Alligator mississippiensis: one gene and its partner. The protein of the gene in region 1 interacts with the protein of each later gene in a pairwise test. Links are inferred from orthologs where the notes say so. Each region holds a gene or a part of one and is shown in the gene's direction. Other genes may lie near its edges.

Region 1 (7,510 bases):
AAGATGAGTGGCAGAGAAAAAAGATGATCCAGGAGGTATGAGATAGGAAAGAAGAGAGAGCCTGAGAGAGAGCAAGGGAGGATGAAGGGAGAGAGACAAAAAACGAGGTTTGGATGTGTAGGGATTGAGAAATGTGCTGTAATGGGTCTTGGGTCCTCCACGATCCACTGGCTGGAAAATTGGCTCCGGGGTCGGACCCAGAGGGTAGTAATTGATGGAAGTCACTCATCGTGGTGTCCTGTGACCAGTGGGGTCCCCCAGGGCTCTGTCCTTGGACCCATACTGTTCAACATCTTCATTAATGATGTGGACACTGGAGTCAGAAGCGGACTGGCCAAGTTCACCGATGACACCAAACTTTGGGGCAAAGCATCCACACCAGAAGACAGGCGGGTGATCCAGGCTGACCTGGACAGGCTCAGCAAGTGGGCGGACGAGAATCTGATGGTGTTCAACACTGATAAATGCAAGGTTCTCCACCTTGGGAAGAAAAACCCGCAGCATCCTTATAGGCTTGGCAGTGCTATGTTGGCTAGCACTATGGAAGAAAGAGACTTGGGGGTCATCATTGACCACAAGATGAACATGAGCCTGCAATGCGATGCTGCGGCTAGTAAAGCAACCAAAACGCTGGCTTGCATCCATAGATGCTTCTCAAGCAAATCCCAGGACGTCATTCGCTCCTCGTACTCGGCCTTAGTGAGGCCGCAGCTGGAGTACTGCGTCCAGTTTTGGGCTCCACAATTCAAAAAGGATATGGAGAAGCTTGAGAGAGTCCAGAGAAGAGCCACGCGCATGAGCAGAGGTCAGGGAAGCAGACCCTACGATGACAGGCTGAGAGCCCTGGGGCTCTTTAGCCTGGAAAAGCGCAGGCTCAGGGGTGATCTGATGGCCACCTATAAGTTTATCAGGGATGACCACCAGTATCTGGGGGAACGTTTGTTCACCAGAGCGCCCCAAGGGATGACGAGGTCGAATGGTCACAAACTACTACAAGACCATTTCAGGCTGGACATAAGGAAGAATTTCTTTGCTGTCCGAGCCCCCAAGGTCTGGAACAGCCTGCCACCGGAGGTGGTTCAAGCGCCTTCATTGAACACCAAGACGAAACTGGATGCTTATCTTGCTGGGATCCTGTGACCCCTGCTGACTTCCTGCCCTTTGGGCAGGGGGCTGAACTCGATGATCTTCCAAGGTCCCTTCCAGCCCTAATGCCTATGAAATCTATGAAATCTATGGCACAGCAGATCATGGCTGTCCAATTGGCAGCCCATGGCCCACTGCTGCCTGGCTGCTGCTTCTTCCATCCCTCCAGCTGCAATAGCAGTAAATTCTCTGTGCTCCCCTTTCTTCTTCCAGTTGCCAGAGCCATGGCAATTAACACTAGCACTGCTTCTCTGCTGCCAAGTTTCTGGACCCATGGGGAGCCCCATGGGCCAGATGATACAGCTCTATAAGCTGGATCTTGCCATGTGAAGAAATCCTCCTCAGTCTGTCTCACCTCTGTATTAGGACAGCCCAGGCCACTCTGTTTTTTCCTGTTTTGGTCAACCTGATCAACTGCCTAGTTTTGGTCAACCTAGTCACCTAGGTGCCTGGGCTGTAAAAATTCCTAGGGAGGGGGAAGCTCGCTCTTCCTTTGTCCTGAAGCGGGCATGTGGGGAAGAAGACAGGCAGTCATTCTGGGAACACAGACACAGAAGGATGTGCCTCCATGAGAGACAGACTCTCTGGAAGATTTGTAAGTAGAAATCTGGAATTTGGCTATTTAGAACTAAGTTTTCAGCTGTATGTTAAAAGGGCCACAAGCCCATATTTGAAAGGCTCAATTGATTCTGTTTTACTCAAGGCATTTTCTTTTAATATTCCTTTGTCCTGTACCCCTACCCCATTCTCTCCATCTGTGGTCAATAAAGCTATCTGTTACAGCTCACCTAGCTGTGTACTCTTGAGGGAAGAGGGGAGAGACAAGCCTTTTTGTTCTCTTTGCTCGGCTGAGCTGAGGGGAGTTTGGCTCTTTATTAACTAACACGGTCCTACCTGAGATTATCCTAGGAAGCTTCAGGCTATAAGGAGCACCCAGAGATATTACCAAGGGACCAAGCACCCCCAAAGCTGTCTTTATCTGTGTATCCCGGGCTGCAAAGAGCCTTAACAGAGACCAGTGCCCAGGTGGTGGCAGCGTTACCCCAGGCTTGTGGGTGTGCTCCAGGAAAGGGGATGGCCAGACATGGAGACTCCCAAAGCATGGTTTTGGGCCTGGCACAGTGAGGTGGGTGGCTTAGCATAGTAGCACCCCTTACTGTCCTGCCACAGCCCATAGGCCACTGAGCACCAGTGCTCTAAAGAGATAAACCAGACCAAGGGAGAGGGGCTCTTGGCTAGTGCGGGCTGATCTGCTGGAGCCTGCCCATGTGGGGCAGCCCTTGCAAGTGCAGCCGTACAGCTCTGTGCAGTCTGGTGTCCTGAGCCAACACTTGCGGTGTGGGTGCAAGCCAACTAAGCACTGTGACATCGCTCCCTCATACAGCACTGGCACGGTGTCACACGCCTGTTTCACAGAGCCATGCGTCTGCTGCCGGTGGCTCCCACGGAGTTCCCTGTGTAATCGAGCAAATCCGGGCTGAAGGAGATGAGGCTGCAGGACAGCAGGGGAAGGCGCGAAGGGGCCACGTGACAGGACAGCATGGGCAAGCCTAGAAATTTGCAAAGGGGAGCGTGGGCCGCCAAGCGCCTCATCCCCCGGGATCCGATTTAAAAAGAACCCCCAATTTTCGGTTAAAAAAAGGAACCCCAAATCCACATTTTTCCGTGATTTAAATGAAATAACAGATAGATAGATAGATAAACTATCTCTATCTATCTATCTATATCAGTGGTGTTTCATTTAAATCACGGAAAAATGTGAATTTGGGGTTCCTTTTTTTTACCCGAAAGTTGGGGATTATTTTTAAATCGGAGGAAACCAGGATCCCTGCTCCTCACATAACACAGCACAAGCTTTATGCAGCTAAAGAGACGCTGGAAGCGCTGGGCTCTGCCAGGGGCCTAGGGCCGGAGGGCTCCGTTTAAGATGCATGCAAGGCTTCATTGGGGTGAGGTAAAGCAAGCTGCGGGGCGGGAGATGGGAGCTGCGGAGCCGGAGAGCAGCTGAGGGGCAGCGGCAGGGCAGAGCGGCCCCTCAGCTGAGCCCGTCACCCGCAGCCAGACTACAACTCCCATCGGCCTCCGCGGCCGGGAGAGGCAGCTCCCGGAAGTGCCGCCCCACGAGGCCAGCGGATGCTGTGATTGGTTGGCGCCTCGGGAATCATATGACGAGGCAGCGGGAAGATGGCGGAGCCACTAGGCGCCGCGGCCGAGGACCCGTGGGGAAAAGTGAGTCTCGGGGGCTGGACGGTGGCCGGGATGGGACGAAAAGCGGGTGGGAGCTCGGGTGCTGGAGCGGGATCCCGCTGTCCCCGCTCCGGGCCCCCGCCACGAGGCGGCGCGGCCGGGCCCGGGGACCCGCAGGCAGGCGCCGCGGGGCCGCCTCAGCACGGGGGTTGAGGGTGCTGGAGACAGCGAGCCACCTCCCAGCCCTGGGGAGCGTCGTGCACGGCCGTCTGCCTAAACAGCAAATAATCATATAATCATATGAAGCAAATAACAGGGGGGAATTGTCGGCCAGTCATCTCGGGGCAGACACAACTGCCCAGTGCCCAGCCCCTCCCATTAGTCTCCGAGGGCATAAGTGTGCATCCCTGTCAAGACGGTACTGCAGGTTCCCAGAATAAACTGCAGTAAAACAAGGACGTGCCCAGTGTGCTGCCCAGCAGCACGGGCATAGCAAATTGCGCAGCAGCCTTGTTTGAGAGAGCAGCTGTTCTGCAGAGTGGGCTGTGGGGAGTCGACAGGCCATGGGCTACTTCTGTTGCTGACACACAGTAGCGTGATAGTTGATTGCGCAAAAGAGGAAACTGCCTTACTCACTGGCTGGCTTTTTTTCTCTTCTCTTCCCTTTTGCTTACACTGTCATCTGGCAACACAGCAGGTGGACTGTGTGTACAGCGACAATGGACTGGAGGCTCGTAAGTAGCTCTGTGCATTCCTCTTTCAAATATTGTCGGGTCAACTCTGCTGTTGCCAGACAAAAGAGCATAGATGAAACAGGCAGGGCACGCCAGTTTCCTGCATCATTTTAACGCTGGAAACTTAGCGCAAAGAATAATATGTGCGGAATGTAGGTTTTGTAAATATAAGCGGTGCATGGATTAAAACTTTAAAGGAGGGTTTAAATTAAGGGAAAGGGACGACTTGAACTTGTAAAGAATGATAAATGGATGTTTTTGTCTAGCTCTGGGACAGCGGTGCAAGCCAAAACGTGTAAGTAACAACTGGAACGTAGGGAGAAGGAAGCTTGAGATCTGCTGTCACTGCAGTTTGAGTGATCACACCCAGGCTGAGTGGTGCTGGGTGGGAAGTTATTTTTAAAACACGCAGTCTCTAATCTGATGATGCCTCGCCATATTCTCAGCTTTTTAAAGCAGAACTAATATCTCCCTTGTATCAGAGGCATGCAGAGTACGGGCCAGTTACCTGCTGAATAAGCTTCCCTGCTTCCGTGTTTTGTCCATGTTAAAGATTACAGTGAATCCCATTGGGGTTTAGCTGGTTCCTTCACAGCTCCTGAAAAATCTTTGCTGTCTACTTGTTGCTAAATCCACAAAACACCTACAACAGCAAACAGATACTAATTCTTATAGCTGGCTACCCTGTGCTTTACCCACCTGAGCTGAGCACCACACTGTATCCGTTTGGAACATCCCCTGGGATTTGAGATCCTTGCTCAGCTCACTGCTTCATGCATGACCAGTATTTTCTCTTCCAGCACTCTTTGTGGAAAGCAGTAGAAAGGGAAGCATAGTATCACGAGCGAACAGCATTGGCTCCACTAGTGCCTCCTCTGTCCCCAATACAGGTAAGGGCCATGGTGTCCCTTCTCCCTGTCTGTAGGTTAGTCCCTCCCTCAACTTGTCCAGCACTTAAGATGCTTTTGGTGCTCTTTCTCACTTATTTCTAACATGTGTTCTTCTCTGGCAAAAGCTGCTCACATGCAATCGCAGTAGCTTCCCTTGCCAGCTTGAGTATATATGTCTTTCATTCAGCAAAGGAGGATGGTGGGGAGCACCAGGAAGGTGTCGCAGTTTCCAACGAGACAGTTTGATAAGGCACTCCTGACTTGGGGCAAGGAGAAGAGTTAGTGTGAACAAATGGCCTGGCTAACGGAAATACCATCAAGAGAGTACTGAGCACCTGCCCTCTGAAAGAAAAAGACCTTGGACTCCAGCTTCCTGTTTTAATGCCCAAGAGATCTTCTCATGAGAATCCTGCCTACATTAGCCAGGGGCTTTGGCAAAAATGTGTTGCCCAGCTGCCTACTCACACCATGCTCTGGTGTAGGCAGCTGCCAGCAGGCCTGCAATGGCTCTGGGAGGTTCATCTTTGCCTTGTTTGTGCCCTGTTTGCAGCTTGTCTACCCAGTCAGTAATTGTGTCTGGGTCTGGACCAGAGTGCATAAAATGATTCCAGGAAGAGCATGCTCCCCCATTACCTCTGCACGTGCAGCTGCATGTCTGCCTCTGCTTCCTAGGCTCCAAAAGCGCCTGAGTTCTCTTTGACACAGTGACTCTTCTTCCGTTGCAGATGATGAAGACAGCGATTATCACCAAGAAGCCTATAAAGAGTCATACAAAGACCGGCGCAGGCGTGCACACACCCAGGCAGAGCAGAAGAGAAGGGATGCCATCAAGGTAACATCAGAGCAGCTATCAGACTGTTCTCTTGGATGGGAATACAGTTGGTCCTTTCCTTTTGTTACATACCTATAACGCGGGCATCCTGTGGTATCAGCATTCTTATTTCTCCCACATCAGGACACCCATATCCTTTTAGTTATCACAGTCACTGTGCCCCTAAACATTTGGCTTACTGGGGGCAGGTTATCAGCCCTGAGTAACTGCATCCTAGATGCCATATGAAGGAACTGGAGAGACAGCTGGGACTTTGGCACCTTATGAGACCACCTACTTGGCCACTGCCCTTCTGTCATGTGGTTTAATCTAAAAATGCCTGTAACATCATCTCTTCCTCTTGAACAGAAAGGCTACGATGACTTGCAGGCTATTGTGCCTACATGCCAGCAGCAAGATTTCTCCCTTGGCTCCCAGAAGCTGAGCAAAGCCATTGTCTTGCAGAAAAGTGAGTTGGGGGCAGAAAAGGGGCACATTCCTACCTAACCACTGCATCACTTTGCATCTATGCTGGGAATTCATGCTCCTGCAGCCACTGAGTGGGACACCAGCCATCCAGAACTAGACTGCAGTGAGGCAAGGGATGTCCCCACTTGCATTATTGTCCCCCACCCCCCATCTTTGGACTTTGAACTGCTGTTAGTGTTTTTCCCAGGACTTGCTCAGCATTCTGCTCCCTGCTGCTTCTCTCAGCTGGCTCTGCAGTTTAACTCTCCCAAGCTCTTGCTGATGTTCCAAAACACTTCTGCACAAATAACTTTGCAGCAAGGGGTTGAAATGTACAGCAGTATCAATTGTCATTTCGTCTGAGGCCAGTTGCCTCCCTCCCCAACATACCTCATTGTAGCTTAAGGGTATTTAAATCACTTGGGTTGAGGGAGGAGGTTGAACTAAGTGCCTAGAGCAGATTACCTCTTCGTCCACCTTGATCCCCAGGTGTTTGACAGAGCACACTGCTGCTCCCTCTTCTCTGGACCTGGGTCTCCCTCTGCAAAGTGAAGCGTTTTAGCAAATGCCTCTTTGAGACCAGAGAAGACTGGCTACTTGTCAGTTTGAATATGTAAGACCTACAGAGGTGACAGTGCAGTGGTTTAATCCTGACAGGGCTCTAGCATCTGTTCCTCCTGAAGAGAGACAGGATGCAGTGGCCTCTGGACTCTGCTTGCTTGAGTTTTCCTAAAGCCACTATCATCCCTTTGGTCTTTAGCCATTGACTATATTCAGTTCCTGCACAAGGAGAAGAAGAAACAGGAGGAGGAAGTTTCAACGCTCAGGAAAGATGTCATGGCCTTGAAGATCATGAAAGTGTAAGGAACTTTCCTCCCCCACCTTTGCCTCCCGGGCCCTGGAAGTTGGAGACACTGTCATGGACTCTTATAAATAGAGCCTGGCACCCTTTTCTTCTTGCATGTCCATCTTAGGGCTGGTTCTCGACAAGCTGAACTTGACAACAGATCGTAGTGGGAGGAGCATGACCTGAGCAAGGGACTCTTGACTCTGCTACTGGCCTCCCGTCATATACAAAAGGAAGGGTCTCCATTTCTTTGCATGTATTTGGGCACTTCTACACATGCATATTAATGCACAGCAATAAACTCTGGTGCATATCTCTCCAGAGTTCATTGCTCACAGGCTTCACATTTACACATACACCCAGGACTGCAATACATTGAGTTGGGTTGGAGCAGCCCCAGCTGGCAGAGGGTCCGGGGAGTCAGCCT
Region 2 (7,510 bases), on another chromosome or scaffold:
CCGGTCCCGCTGCCCGGGAGGGGGGCGGAGGCGGAAAACGTGGCGATGCCGGACCTAGCCCAACCCCGGCGCCGCCTCCCTCGGGGCAGCAAGCACCCACGTGGGCGCGGCGCGGCCTCCAGCGTCCCTGCAGACCTGGCCCCGCTCTCCCCGGCCCACGTGCCCCGCTGCGGGAGCAGCCGGCGGCGAACAGGGAGCCCCGGGCGCCGGGCCCTTTAAAGGGGGCGCCGCGGGCGGCGGACGGAGCAGGGCGCCCATGTGGAGCTGCTCCATGCCGTGTTGTTCTCCCAGCCCATTGGCCCGCAGCCGGGTGACATATTTTAATAGGATGCAAACGCAGTGCGGGGGGAGGATCCGCTGCAAAACTCGGCGCCGGAGTCCGCTGTGCCCGGCTCGGAGGGTGGGAGCCCATCTCTACCCCTCCGCTGTCATCTCGCCGCTGCTCGGCACAGCCCAGCTGCCAGCTCCTAAAGAAGGTTGCCGGTCCTTGCCCTTCACAGCCCCCTCCCTCCTGCAGCCCTGCCCAGGGCGTTGTTGGGGCCCTGGGCAAGAGAGTCATTTGAGGCCCCTTAATGTTGATGACCTAAAAGCAAGTCGGACGTTTTCGATTTCATTTTCACTTCGCCCTAGCCATGAAACTGCAATGAAAGTATCTTAATACAATATTGATCAAACAAATATTCAGTGTAATTTATTTTTATAAAGTGTGGGGCCTCCTGCGGTTGCCTGGTTTGCCCCCTCCTAAGCCCACTACTGGCCTGCCCCTGTCAGGCGTTGGGCCCTGGGCATCGTGTAGCAGTCCAAAGCCCTGTCCAATGCCATGCAGACAAGACGCCCTACAAGTCTTGTAATTAGCTTCCCAGTGGCCAGCTTCCAGTGGCTGCACCCCTGCTTTATGGAAAGGATGCAGACAAATTGGAGAAAGTCCAGTGGAGGGCAGCAAAAATGGTTCAGGGGCTGGGGCACACAACTTCTGAGGAGAGGCTGAGGGAACTGGGTTTATTTAGTCTGCAGAAGAGAAGACTGAGGGGGGATTTGGTAGCAGCCTTCAACTCCCTGCCGGGGGGGATCCAAAGAGGATGGTGCTGGGCTGTTCTCAGTGGGGGCAGATGACAGAACAAGGAGCCTTGGGCTCAAGTTGCAGCAAGGGCAGTTGAGGTTGTATATTAGGAAAACCTTTCTTACTAGCGGGGTGGTGAACCACTGCAACAGGTTATCTAGAGAGGTGCTGGACTCTTCATCCTTGGAGGTTTTTAAGACCCAGCTAGACAAAGCCGTGGCTGGGATGATCTGGTTGGGGCTGGTCCTGCTTTGAGCAGGGGGTAGACTAGATGTGACCTTCTCAGATCCCTTCCCCACCATGACTAACAACAACAAATCCAGGTTGCAATAAAGCTTCCTAAAGACACAGAGTCTAGGCCATAATGGGTTGCAGGAGGGGTGAGATTTTTTTTCCTGGTTGCAATACATCTTGGTAGAGACATAGGGTCTAGGCCGGGGAATGGCAACATTTTTGGACAGAGTGCCAAGAACATCTGCAAACTGGGCTTACAAGATGTTGGTGTGCCAGGAACCACTGGTGGGGGAGCCACAAGGGGCCCGATCCTTATTGTGGCAGGGAGGTGGCCGGGGCTGTGCTGCCATCTGCCCTGAGGTGTGCGTGCCAAGCAAAATGCCTTTGTGACTGTGCCACACTCTGGCACCTGTGCCAGGGGTTGCCTACCCCTGGGCTAGGCCTAGCCATGAGACTTTGCAGGAGGAGTGAGATTTTTTCCCCCAGTCGCAATATATCTTGGTAAAGACACAGGATCTAGGCTTCTCCAGGATGGTTTAAAGGAGGGGTGACATTTTTTCCCCAGTTGCAATATATCAAACTAGCTGGGTACCTAGCTGGGGTCATTTGAGCTTTAACTTAGCAGGGGTCATAAGAGCCATGTATTCATTCCTGCCAGGGGCAGGGGGTCGGACTAGATGATCTGCTCAGGTCCCCTCCAACCCTACATCTATGAATCTATTTTGGTAAAGACACAGGGTCTAGGCCTAGCCAGGACAGTTTGCAAGAGGGGTGAGATCTTTTGTACATATTATTATGACTCTATTTCATGTTCCAGGTCGAATCAGTTCAAAATCATATGGCCTGAGCAGGTGAGATGCGCATCTCCCTGGAGCACCCACTAGTAAAACGAAATCCATAAAGCAGAGAGATTGAAGGAGTAAACCTGCCCTCCCCCCCCCCGCAGACACCTCGCCCGGAGTTAACTCCACCCCTGCACCCGGCGTGCACAGCCCCAGTCCGGCCAGCGGCGGGGATCCAGGCCGGGTTTCCCCCGTCGCCCGCCTGTAGTAGCCCAGGGCAGTGTCAGTCCTTTTTCCTTGTTGTGTTTCTGTTACTCATCGCCATCTTGTTGCAAACCCTTTTCTTGTCTGCAAGACTCGCCGGGGATTGGGCTGGGGGGGTGCTTTGCAGGGGCATTTTTGCACGGGGGGACAGACCAGGCGAAGGAACCCCCTCTATCCGAGCCTCCGGGATTGTGGCCCCTCCACCGCAAGGCAGCCCGAGAGATGAGCATTGAGACGCTGTTGGAAGCAGCCAGGTTTCTGGAATGGCAAGCCCAGCAACAACAGAAGACACGTGGTAAGGGGGGACAGCGCGGAAAACCGGGATCCGAGCTCTTTAAAGACACAGGACACCATTTCCCGCCGGCGGGGAAGCGACAGCGCCTTTCTCGGGGCCCGAGACCCGGCTGCGGGGCCGGGGCGTGCAGGGCGCCTCTTGCTTTTCGAGCTGATTTTGCAGCGGGGGGTGAAACCATCTTCCCCCCTTGAATAAAAGGAGGGTGGCAGGCAGGCAGGGGGCTCGGGCTTTTTTGCGGGGTGGGAGCGGAGCTCGGAGGAGGGAGGTGCTGACACATCCTTGCAAGGGCTCGGGGGAGCCTGGGGTTCCCGGAGATCCGCTCCCCTCCCTCCCCTCCCCCCGGGTCTAGCCCGGCTCGGCTCTGATCCCGGAGCCTGTCTCGCTCGCAGGCTGCAAACAGACTCTTTGATTAGTTTTTCTCTTTGCTTAAACGGTGCAAACAGTCGCATGCGAAAAGTAAGTAGCCATGGAAGCATGGGTTTGTTTTTTTTTCCCCTTTCTTTCCTGAAAACGGGTTTTTATCGTGAATGGGTTGGGAGACACGGGGTTTCAATGCGTCAAAAATGCACCCCCCCCCAAGCTGTTCTCCTGGCCGGCAGGCTCATGCCTGGGCTCGCATTTCCTGGTGGGGAGGATCTGCCTCCGCGGTCGTGGGCTTAGGGCGGTGGCAGGGCTCCAGCGGAGCGGGCTGAGGCTGCCTTTGCATAATGCAATGACACGGAGCGTCAGATGATACGCGGCAGTTCCTCCTCCCTCCCTCGTGTGTGATACATTGCACACGGCCTCCTCCCTCCCTTCCTCCCTCCCGCGTGCGTGTGTGTGTGTGTGCGCACATCCCCTCCCTTCCTGGAAACGTGCAGGGCCGGGGCGCCCGTGTCCCCGGGATCCCTCGTGGGCAGACGGGCCCGGCCCGCGGGCCGCCCCTCCCCCTTGGAATGTTGCGTGTCGCCGCGTTCCAAGCGCCTTAGTTCCAACCGGGGGCGGATGACGTGGCAGGCCCCGCCCCCTCCCACGTGCGCCGGGCCCCGCCCTCCGGGGCGCTGCGGGGCTGCTCCGCCGCTGCACTTTCGTTCTGGCCACGGGCGGGGGAGGAGGGAGGGGGGCTCCCGGCGGAGGTTTCCGCTCTCGGCTTGCCCATGGCAGCTACCCAGTCCTGCAGGGGCTGGGAGGAGGGAGCTGTTCTGGGCCGAAAGACTGAAAATCGAATAAAAAATAGGTCATCCAAGAATATTTGAATATTGCCCCCCCCCCATCTGCACTCCCCATGACTGTTTCATTCTTGCTTGCAGTTAACAAACATCCTGTTTCTTGCTCTCGCACATGCACACAGTTGTGGTGAAATCGATACTGTGTTAACCTCCATTATACTCCACGCTCTTTCGGGCTGATCCAGGGATTCCCGCTTGCTCCTAGGGAGGTTCCCTTTGTGTTTGGATGGGTTTTAAGGGCAGCTTTCAAATCATCTTCCTGGGACCGATAAAGAATTGATGCAGCGTGGGGGGTATTTCACTTTGCTTGTGCTTTGTGGGGGTGGTTTTGGCTGGGGAAATCTCATGCAAATAGCTTCCACCGTGAATCTACTTCAGAATAAAAAAAAAAGAACTCGCAGGGCCTTTCTGACCATTGTGAGAGCGAGGCAGGCCTGCGGAGGTTAAGCAATAGGGTAGGGAAACCCTGCTTCCAATGCATCACCTTTTCAGCAGCGTGGTCCAATCATCCTAATTACAGATAGCAAATACTGCTTGGCAGGGATGCCACCCTTTTCCTGTGTGCCCTCCCTATATTCTTTGTTGACCCTAATCCAATGCAGTTCACTCCTATAAGAACAAGGTTGACCTTTTCCAGAGGAAAAAAGGCAGTGTGTGTATGTGTGTGAGAGAGAGAGAGGAGCTGTGTGTGTGTGGGGGGGGGGGGTGAAGCATTAATACAGTGAATTTCACTGAATTTTAAAACCAGGTTCTTGAAAATTGTGCTATGCAGTCTCGTTTCTCCCATTTATGTGTGTATTTTTCTGTCTGTATGTTGTAAAGGGTGATGGAGCTGTAATGCAGCATTAGCTCAATGACACTGGTGTATACCTGCTGCAAAAGCAAGGATCTGTTCCCTTTGTGTGTCATTGCTGTGGGATGTAGCTGAAAATCTATTGTTTCACTGATGAGTCATGCAGGAGATAGTGGATGTTATGAAGAAGGGCAGCTTGGAGGGAATGGGTAGAAAAGCTTCCGGGATAACTAAGGAAGGAAACTATCCAGTGTAAGCCTACAGACTATCACAACACCCCCTCTTACACTGGGGCTAACATTGCTGAGGCCAAGCGTCACGCCTACACCCAGGAGCAGCACAGCTTTCAAAAATAAAAAAAGGGGTTCAGTTCATGCATCTGCTTCACAGTCTCCATGTTCAGACTTACTCCCTGGTTGGTGTGCATATTGTGGTGCCTCACTAACACACTCTGATCACCGTGTGCCAATAGAACAGGCTGGATGCATGAGGTGTGGTGTGAGGCTGTGCTGCTTATCATGCAATCATCCTCTTGGGTTGGGGGGGTGGGGTATTTTTTTTCAGGCCCCCAGAAATGAGCTAGGCACATCTTCAGAACAAAGATACAGCTCTTGCCACAGCCTGCAAGCTCTGTTCAGCGTGCCACAACAAGCAAAGATCACGTGCACAGGGCAGGGCAATGGTAGTAAGTCAGAAAAGGGGACAAGAGTGGCGCAGGTCAGTGAGGCTTTGAGTCATCTTGGCTGCTGGGCTTTTTTTAGAGACTTTGTGGCAGAAATGATTTCAAGGGAGAGGCTTGCGCAGGGTGGTATGATAGGAGGGCCAGGGAGGACTCCCCAAACAGGAGCACCAGGAAAGAAGCCTAATGGTGCTACTTTCCCACGCTGAACTCTTCTAGACAGGAGCTGCCTCTGCCATATTTGTACAGCACCCAGTGCACTGGGCCTCCAGGCCCTGTTGGGTGTTACCATCCTGTAATTCTTTACTGCTAGGGCTGCTGTAAGAGGAGGTAGCAAGGCTGGCATAACAGGCCATGTGGAGAGGGTTGGGGAGTGTCAGTGATAAAGGAAACCAGGTCAGAGAAATATGTAGTAACTAGTCTGGAATTAGACCTGAAAGAGAAGACCAGTCATTCAAACTGGATATGTGGGGCAAAGGGGAACCAAACAAGGGCGAGAGAGTGACCCGGCTAAAGGAATAGGTAAGAACAGCAAAATACACAAGATTTGTATGATTCTCTAAAAGAGATGCTATGGATCAAACGAATTAATTCAGGGGCATCCTGTGGCCTCTGTTATGCAGGGGGTCAGACTAGATCAGGGGTTCTCCATCTCATTAGATTAAAGGAGCCCCTTAGAACAGTGGTTTTCAACCTTTTTCATTTGTGGACCCCTAAAAAAGTTTGGAAGTGCGGACCCCTGTGGATTGTAAGTGTGGGTATTCACGTAATTTTGATTGATCATAGTCATCTTTCGCGGACCCGCTTAGACATATTCTTCAGACCCCCAGAGGTCCATGGACCACAGGTTGAAAACCACTGCCTTAGAAAATACCAGTTCTTATTTTTCACTGTTTTTGTTGACTGCAGAAAAAATACTAGACCAATTCTTCTGCTGCAGAGAATTCAGGAAGCCCACAACAGGCCAGAATGTTTTCAACACTTTGGATTCCTATTTGAAATCTCTGGGTTTATCTTGTTTGCACACTTGACAGTGCTAACTTTGTGTGTCATCCCACAGCACCCTTCAAAGAATTTCACAACAAGTTTGCATGCCACAGCATCCTATCACTGAACTAAATGATTGCAGTGGTGCATCCCCATCTTACACCCTGTGAATCAAATCTGTGGGACTGTGAAGAGTGTTTTCCAAAGCAGCTTGGGTTCTGAGATTGCTCTAGTAGAGATGCCATAGATTGTACAGCTGAGGGGTGGAGGGATAGTACAGTATGAATCTGCTTGGGAGGCCCTGCTGTGCGTGCAAGCTCTCAACCCAGGCCATGCCAATTTTCCCTTTCTTTTGCATAGCTAGAGAAGGAGAACCTTTTCTTCCCTGACTTATGCATCCACCTAGGGACTGCGTAGAGAGAAACCCTTCTTCCTGCATCCCTTTTGCCAGATCCATGTTTTTTGCCAGCCTATCACAGCTGTAATGTGGAGCTGTTCTCCTGATGGAGCTAGCAGAGTAAAGAGTATGCTTTGCTGCTCTGAGAGAGAGACCCAGACATTAATAAATGCCTAAGCTGCCTCTGTGATAAAGGTTCTCATTTTCTTGTTATTTGTGGAGTACCTAGCACAATGGGGCTGCCACCTGATTGGTCTCCACATCCGACCACCAAGTGGGAATTTAATCGTAACACTACTGAGGATGTGTCAGTCCTGTGATTTGAGGGGTGGGGAAGGGTAAAGGAGGAAGGAATTATTTGGGGGAGGGGAGAGGAGATGAAAGTATGGCTCCTGTTTTTGGAGTCTCCTGTAACTGTTAAGTATAGCAATATTGCTTTTCAGCTCTGTATTTATTGTCCAGAGTTCCCTACTGGACACAGGCACACCCTGTGTGAAGTGCATCTGTTGATGTAGGGGTGTGCGCAGATCTTGTATTAAACCGTGCGGAGAAATACAACAGTGCTTCTAAATATGGCTTAGCTGGTGAGGAGGGACTGGCTCTGGACACACTACCTGCTGTCTTAGGAAATGTACTGGTTAAAGCACAGCATAGGGCCCCAAGAGAACTGGGAGGTTCTGTCCTTAGCTTGGTCACCAGAACTGTGTGCACTTGGCCAAGTGACTTTGCCCCTCTGTGATTCATAAAATAGGGGTGTTGCTACATTAATGCTGCCTAGCAGTGTTGTAAGCCTTAATTCACTAATATCTCG

What was found.
Region 2: the proteins of MLX (region 1) and MNT interact in a two-hybrid assay, tested with the Homo sapiens proteins (2 studies listed by BioGRID and IntAct). The link is inferred for Alligator mississippiensis from reciprocal best matches to the Homo sapiens genes MLX and MNT.

What each region holds. Positions count from the first base shown.
Region 1 is NC_081827.1:152,005,236-152,012,745, forward strand, and holds the start of MLX (max-like protein X), read left to right. Parts: upstream 1-3,283; 5' UTR 3,284-3,330; coding exon 3,331-3,375; intron 3,376-4,027; coding exon 4,028-4,067; intron 4,068-4,867; coding exon 4,868-4,957; intron 4,958-5,682; coding exon 5,683-5,789; intron 5,790-6,137; coding exon 6,138-6,237; intron 6,238-6,996; coding exon 6,997-7,096; intron 7,097-7,510. UniProt on the Homo sapiens protein: Transcription regulator. Forms a sequence-specific DNA-binding protein complex with MAD1, MAD4, MNT, WBSCR14 and MLXIP which recognizes the core sequence 5'-CACGTG-3'. The TCFL4-MAD1, TCFL4-MAD4, TCFL4-WBSCR14 complexes are transcriptional repressors.
Region 2 is NC_081837.1:7,590,060-7,597,569, reverse strand, and holds the start of MNT (max-binding protein MNT), read left to right. Parts: upstream 1-2,367; 5' UTR 2,368-2,562; coding exon 2,563-2,635; intron 2,636-7,510. UniProt on the Homo sapiens protein: Binds DNA as a heterodimer with MAX and represses transcription. Binds to the canonical E box sequence 5'-CACGTG-3' and, with higher affinity, to 5'-CACGCG-3'.